Linked DNA regions of Daphnia pulex. The protein of the gene in region 1 interacts with the protein of each later gene in a pairwise test. Links are inferred from orthologs where the notes say so. Each region holds a gene or a part of one and is shown on either strand. Other genes may lie near its edges. The genes, in order: electron transfer flavoprotein subunit alpha, mitochondrial-like; electron transfer flavoprotein subunit beta-like.

Region 1 (4,015 bases):
TTCGATATTATTTGATGAAGCCGATGTGGAAGGATCAACCGAGAATTTAGCAATGTCTTCTTTGTCTTTTGATAATTCAAGTTGTACAGAACAACTCATTTTCTATAAAGGAAAAGATAAAATTAATTAAGTTGGTTTGATTTCGAAAAAAAAAAATTACTTTTTTTACCAGAGGGTCGCTGCTTTCCGACATACTTCTGTAAGTAGCCAGTAAGCTCTCTCCAACAGCAATCCATGATAACGATTCAATCTTCTTCGCTAACGGAATGCTTGGTAAAATCAATTCCGTGTATAGACCGCCAACTTCCTCACGAAGCTGCTGTGCTTCATTCAGACATTCCTGTTTTTCTTCTTCACTGTATGGGTAATTTTCAAACAAATGGATCCTGAAAACGAAAAATCACTATCAGATTTCTTGAAGCGACTCACACTTGTTTAATAGTAATTCCATACCATTTTTCGTTGAATATTTGTTTAAGGTCAATTTTCAACGAAGGAGAGATTTCAAAAATAAAATCTCGGAAAATAAGACCTCTGGTGTAGAAAGGGTCTTTTCCAAGGGCTATATTGATGTAGTGAAGGCACAAAACATCATCACCTAGCCCATACAAAACGCTGATAATTCCATCCAGGCAAGGCCAATGGTTGGGACTGCACTGTAACCCCTACATTGTAGCAAGAGATATTAACGAGAATTAGTAATATTTTCAAGTTATTATTATTCTGGTTGAATTCAGTACCTGAAGAAAAGCATGTCTTGCAAGCTGAAAGTTCTTTAAACTCATAGAAATTTTTCCAATGCTGTGCCAAACAGTTACATCAAGGGGATCAACTTCCACAGCCTAAAGATAAGCATGATTTTAGCTAAGAATAAAAATTTGCATTTTAGTCTATTCACTCCACCTCAAGATATGCCTCAAGTGCTTCATCAAAATTTCCTTTGGAAGCACACAAAGCTCCAATGTTTTTCAAACAAGCATATTTAATTTGGAGACAGGAAGACAAGGTGCCTATGTCTCTATTATCTTTTTCTTCTTTTTCATCCAACAAGGCCTAAATTTAAAGTGAGAATTTGATTGACATTATCAAATTAATCTAAGAATTTGAAATTTTGTTAATACATTTTCAATACAAGGTAAGGCAAGTGTGTGATGGAAGAGTTTGAGAGCAGCATCAAACTCATTTTTCTGTCTCAGATCTAGAGCTTCTTTGTACAAGTTCAACGAATCAGCTTCCTGAGAAAGCAAATAAGAAAATAAATAAATAACAAACATATGTTTTTGGTATGCAGTTCATCTCATTCTCTTGGAATAGTTAAGTACTTTTATAGACATTACTTACTTCGACTTCTTTTGTTGGTAGAACAGGTTCATCAACACCAGAACTTTCTTCAGACAACTCTTCGTTTAAGGCTGCAATCCTCAACATTCTCGTTCCGTTCACAAGCTAGAATCATTGAAAACTAGCCTACTGTAAGTAACGATATTGTTGTATACTAAACTTGCTAGAATTTGAATACACAACTTTTCTCTCTGTGTATTATCGAATTGTTGCTAAACTGTATGAGGAAATTTGTTAAACATCACTCGAAAATGAGACGCTAATAATAGAGAAATATTTTCAAAGCTAGAACAGCAGACGATACGAGAGTCGTTCCCATCCCGCTACAAACAAATGAACAACGCATGGCGATTTTCTGATTTCGGGATTTTCAGTCTGCTAGTTTTAATCGTTACGATTCAAGTCCCTTTTATTTTTCGTTGTGTAATTGGGTGACTGTTGGAGTACATCCATAATTCTGATAAGTTTGCATTAGAAAATGTTTTCGATTTCACAGCTGCGCAATTTCCAAGGAAGGAATGTGAGTGTTGCAGTATTATTTAAAATTATATTTTGCGGTTTTGCTATTGTTCTTGAAACAGTAAATCATGCTATTGAATCACATTGCCAGGTTTTCATCCTAGCCCACCGTTTTCAAAGTACCTTGGTTTTAGCTGAACACAACAATGGCAAACTTAACCCTGTCACATTGAGTGCCATCACAGCAGCTCAGAAAGTTGGTGGAACTGTGTCCTGTCTTGTTGCAGGAGCCAAGTGTGGATCGGTAAGTTCATCAGATGATTGCGGTACTGAAGAATTCTGAAGCTTTGTTAACTTTTCAAACTAATTTTAGGTAGTAGAACAATTGTCCAAAGCAACAGGGATATCAAAGATCCTTGTTGCTGAACATGCCAATCTTCATGGGTTGTTGCCTGAACCCTTGGCCCCCTTGGTTGTTGCTACCCAAAAGCAATTTGGTTTTACTCATATTTTAGCTGGTGCTTCTGCTTTCGGAAAAACTTTGCTTCCCAGAGTGGCTGCACTGTTAGATGTTTCTCCCATTTCAGATGTAACTGCAATCACAAATGCTGATACTTTTGTCAGAACAATTTATGCTGGTGGGTTACTAACTCCTATGTATTTCTTTGTTTATATTTTATCATGTCTTCAATTTTACATTTAAATCAGGAAATGCTGTTCTGACATTGAAATCCAATGATGGCGTTAAAGTCGTTACCATTAGGCCCACAAGTTTTCCTGCTGCTCTCATGGGGGATGCCGTTGCTCCTTCAGAAGCGTCTACTCAAACCGTCAATTCCTCACCTAATTCCGAATTTATTGGACAAGAGTTGACTAAGTCTGATCGTCCAGAGCTTTCGTCTGCCAAGATCGTCGTTAGTGGTGGTCGAGGATTGAAATCAGGTTTGAAGGATAATCTTAATAGTTTATGCCTTCATAGTACAATGTTATAATTATATTATATAATCAGGTGAAAACTTCGAGCTACTTTACAAGCTTGCCGACAAGATGGGTGCTGCTGTAGGCGCTTCGCGTGCCGCTGTTGATGCCGGTTTTGTATCCAACGACCTTCAGGTTGACTAGCATTTGTCTTTTTCTTCTTTGTCAAAACTCCATTTGGTAATCTGGATTATTCGCGGACGTGGCAACTACAGGTTGGTCAAACAGGAAAAATCCTTGCACCGGAATTGTACATCGCTGTTGGAATTTCTGGTGCGATCCAACATTTGGCTGGCATGAAAGATTCAAAAACCATCGTTGCCATCAACAAAGATCCAGAAGCTCCCATTTTCCAAGGTAACGTTTTGATGGATATTATTCAATTTTCTTTTTAGAACTGTTTTTAACTATTAATTCATTTCAATCAAGTTGCTGATATCGGCCTGGTAGCTGATTTATTCGCTGCTGTGCCCGAACTCACCGAGAAAATAGGAAAAAAGTAAAAAAATTTTGAAGCGACGTTGTTGCTGATTTATAAAAAGAAACAATGCAAATGTGTACGGAATATGGGATAAAAACAAACAAAAAAATATACAGATAGTATCCTTCTACCCTCAAAGGTCAGAGAACACCCGATCTGGAATCCCTTAAATGTTGTCGACCATTCAATCAGAGCTTCTACACTCGTCTAGTCTGGGCGTCCGCTGATGCAAGGCCAGACAAGGACTCTTTGCGGAACGGTTGTTTTGTGATAGTATCGTGAGCCACTTGTCGATTCATGCAGAATCGGATCAGAACCATCTAGTCTCCGGAACGCATTCAAACTATTCGCGCCCATATAATAATGAGGTGTATTGTTCACTGCGACTGGGAGGGGGGAGGGGAAGATTACAGGGACTAACGAAGGCGATAAATAAACAGCAAAATGACATTCATTAGTCCTGACGAGAAAGCCGTCATAGTACCATGGAAGATGGGTCTTAAAGGGGGGTTTCAGTGGTTCCATCACAAGTGAGGCGTGCCGTCAAGACGCAGATATGCCCACTGATATCACAGGCCATTAAGACGGCTGAGAGAACTGTGCTCATTCCGCGTTTCTTCTTTTCCTGCTTCATCTTTCATCTTCATTTCGTGAAATCCTTTTTGTGCTGTACAGTGTCACATGCTGCCGCCTCTTAAAGGCCAAGTGTGTCTCTCTCGCACAGTGAAGCCCAGACTTTTCATTTAGACAAAGAAT
Region 2 (3,616 bases), on another chromosome or scaffold:
GGCAAGATGGCAATTTCCCAATACCCTTACATAATATTCATTCCATAAACTGTCTTTATAGTTGTTTGATAGAGAAAGCTGTACTTACACATACCTGCTTGCTGACGCCTACTCAAAAGATGCAGTACTCATTGATCCTGTCATCGAGCTTATTGAAAGGGACCTAGAGGTGGTCAAAGAATTGGAACTCAACATCAGATATGCTTGTATAATAAATTAATATAATATTTTTTTTCAAAACCTGTACAATAATTTCTTCTTTTTAATTTTCCAGTGAGTACTCATATGCATTCTGATCATTCAGCAGCTGCCCTTAAGCTAAAAAAGTACCTTCCGTCGTGCAAAACTGTCATTTCTGCAGCTAGCGGAGCAATCGCCGATATTTTGGTTCGCCATGGCGATATCATCCACTTTGGTCGACATCAGCTCGAAGTACGAGCAACACCCGGCCATACCAACTGTAATTTGATCAAAACATGATTACTTTAAGTGATTCGTATTTTCAAGTCGCGTGGTTATATTGTTTCAGGTTGCGTCACATATGTCTGTCATGAAGAAGGAGTCGCTTTCACAGGCGACACTTTGCTAATTAGAGGATGTGGTCGGACTGATTTCGATCAAGGCGATCCTGAAACTTTGTACAACTCAATCTATAACCAAATTTTCTCATTACCAAACATGCTCCGCCTTTATCCTGGACACGACTATCGGGGTACCAATCAACAAACACATTAGAATTCTTTTATACTTGTCTAATTTCTATTTATACATTCAGGCAGAACAGTGACGTCTGTTTTGGAGGAGAAACGCTACAATCCTCGATTGACCAAGAGTAGAGAAGAATTCATTCAAATCATGAAAACATTAAATTTCGCCCACACTACTGATAACCAAATGGGTATGATACTATGCACTTCATTTGCATTTTCTGTTAAGTAAAAAAAACCAATTCATTTAATTTGTTCCAGAACATTCTTTGCCGGAAAGTTTCAAGTAGACGTGCAGTAATCGGATGAAGGAGTTGATAAGCTATCTCTTATTAGCTTATGATACTCAACAGCCATTCATTACATAATCAAGGGGCATATAGTGCTTGTTTTGGCGCACCATATTTTTTAAATAAATTTATGCGGAACTCGGTGTAGCCGTTAGAGTGGGGCCACTGAGGCCTGCAACCTTCTCTGATCTATCACTTAGTCCAATGTCATTCCCCTATCGAATATTGATTTCATTTCCTTTCACTTGTATTTTGAAGGAATAAATTTGTTACAAAAATGAAAAAGAATTCTCGTTTGTTATTGATTTGCTGAATCAGAGGAATGAAACGTGAGATGTAAAAAAATATTCATAGTCGAATGCGCAATCCCACATTTTCAAACACCTCGCAACATCGCTCTTGTGTTCCCGCCAGGTGACGCTAGTGGTTTTAACGTCTTCTGCTTGTACTTTATTTGTCGTGATAACACGATAGAGCTTTCTCTAATTGTAACATTGTAATTTTTATATTGTAATTAAAATGTCTCTTCGAATCCTGGTCGGCGTAAAACGTGTTATCGACTATGCTGTCAAGGTAATTGACTTTTCGAAACTTTTTTAACGATTTAACAATGAAACTTATCGTGTTCTTGGAATTTTAGATCCGAGTCAAGCCCGACAAATCGGGAGTCATTACGGAGGGAGTGAAGCACTCAATGAACCCCTTCGACGAGATTGCCATTGAAGAAGCTGTACGTATGAAAGAAAAGAAGATAGCCAAAGAAATTGTGGCTTTCTCCTGTGGTCCAGCTCAGTGCCAGGTTGGCGATTTGTCAATTTCTAGATTACATAATTTTGGTACAAGATTGTCCATCATGTTACATCCTGAATATTTTTTATGATCTTGGCACTTTGGCGTGTTACAGGAAACACTGAGGACTGCTCTCGCCATGGGCGCAGATAGAGGCATACATGTAGAGGTTGCAGGACCACAGTTTGATACTCTGCAACCATTGCACATTTCCAAGATGTTGGCCCAACTTGCAAAAGATGAACAGATCGACCTAATTATTGTTGGAAAGCAGGTACCTAATTATCTCTTTTATCTTAATTATAACCCAATTATAAGAAAACATTGTTTTTCACTGACAGGCCATTGATGATGACTGCAATCAAACAGCTCAGATGACAGCTGCTCTTCTAGATTGGCCTCAAGCCACTTCTGCGTCCAAGGTTATTACTTATTGCTACTTTTTAAAATAATCAGCAGCGCACAACTGACAAAATCCGTCAATCATGTTTTCTATTCAGATTGAAGCCAAGGATGGCAGCTTGCAGGTGGTACGTGAGATCGACGGGGGGCTCGAGACAATTAAGGTGAAATTACCAACTGTCGTCAGCGCCGACTTGCGTCTGAATGAGCCTCGCTACGCAACTCTCCCCAACATCATGGTACTTTTTTTAATATACGCACAAATGCCCTCGATTTTTCACTCAAGTTTTTTATTTCTTTTCTTTTTAGAAAGCCAAGAAGAAGCCCATTAAGAAACTGACGCCTAAGGATTTAGGCGTCGACGTCAGCCCAAGAATTGAAGTAGTCACGGTCGAGGAACCACCCGTGCGGCTTGCAGGTGCCAAGGTCGAGAACGTCGACATGATGGTGGAAAAACTCAAAGCCCTCGGCCATGCTTAATTTGCAGGGGGGGATTGCAATGAGCATTGAAGAAAACCTGGACTTGCCCTTCTGGTTTCTGCCCATTTGTAGTTTGGCTTTTATCAATGCAAAAATCAAGTTGAAAAGATTACGCTATTACGGAAAAGAATACAAGAACTTATTATACTTACAACAATTCGTTTACTAATAAAATAAAGTCGAAACATTATTAGTTACAAAAAAATGCAAGTGTATTCAAAGAAATAATGAAGTACATTCATTCGTATCCCAAACTTGTAATTTATAAGTTTGCATACCACTTTTTAAAACGCAAGTTTCTTAATCAACAGGTAGATTTGTTGATCGACTTCGAATCCGTGAAGATTGTTGGCATCTCCCTGCAAACGCATCAGCAATCCTCCGTACGACGCATAGGCAGATCTGCACGAATCAATAAAGAAAATCATTACCGAACACTACCCATCATCTAAAAAAGAAAACAATCAAGATACACAAAAACATACAATTAAGGGCACACATGATCATTAGTAGTTTGGTCGAATATCGTGTCATCGACAGTGGACAGTTTGGATAGTGGCTGTGGATTCAAGTAAATATTTCACAACCAGCTAACCACACTGCCAACCATCAATACACTTATTGCCCAAACAATTTGTACTTGCATCAAGACACTTGTGGCTCAATGAGAAGCGAAGACTCGACTGTGACATGGAGACATTTGCAAAGTCCTTTTATAACGAGAAAGATGGGCACACACCACAACATGTCGACGAGAAAAAATCGTACGATAGGCGTTATTAAACGTCGTCGACCAATTAATATCCATAGGGAATTGCTTCGACGGTTCGACGAAAAACATCGACCCCCCCCACCCTTCCATTCTCAAATTAAAAAAGATGTTCGAAGAAAAAGAAATCGTCGTCATTTCGTCAACTAAACCAAGACGAACGTATCTAACCAATACAA

What was found.
Region 2: the proteins of electron transfer flavoprotein subunit alpha, mitochondrial-like (region 1) and electron transfer flavoprotein subunit beta-like interact in a two-hybrid assay, tested with the Drosophila melanogaster proteins (2 studies listed by BioGRID). The link is inferred for Daphnia pulex from reciprocal best matches to the Drosophila melanogaster genes wal and Etfb.

What each region holds. Positions count from the first base shown.
Region 1 is NC_060017.1:3,282,452-3,286,466, reverse strand, and holds electron transfer flavoprotein subunit alpha, mitochondrial-like, read left to right. Parts: upstream 1-1,668; 5' UTR 1,669-1,819; coding exon 1,820-1,861; intron 1,862-1,951; coding exon 1,952-2,104; intron 2,105-2,173; coding exon 2,174-2,438; intron 2,439-2,508; coding exon 2,509-2,742; intron 2,743-2,809; coding exon 2,810-2,913; intron 2,914-2,993; coding exon 2,994-3,135; intron 3,136-3,207; coding exon 3,208-3,281; 3' UTR 3,282-3,389; downstream 3,390-4,015. Other genes in the region: calcineurin-binding protein cabin-1-like, read right to left, coding at 1-102, 170-386, 454-665, 741-842, 904-1,053, 1,122-1,235, 1,342-1,428.
Region 2 is NC_060023.1:10,149,720-10,153,335, reverse strand, and holds electron transfer flavoprotein subunit beta-like, read left to right. Parts: upstream 1-1,394; 5' UTR 1,395-1,516; coding exon 1,517-1,570; intron 1,571-1,637; coding exon 1,638-1,796; intron 1,797-1,901; coding exon 1,902-2,060; intron 2,061-2,127; coding exon 2,128-2,208; intron 2,209-2,286; coding exon 2,287-2,427; intron 2,428-2,497; coding exon 2,498-2,668; 3' UTR 2,669-2,815; downstream 2,816-3,616. Other genes in the region: persulfide dioxygenase ETHE1, mitochondrial-like, read left to right, coding at 1-1, 62-206, 275-460, 530-712, 776-898, 969-997; DNA-directed RNA polymerases I, II, and III subunit RPABC3-like, read right to left, coding at 2,953-3,070.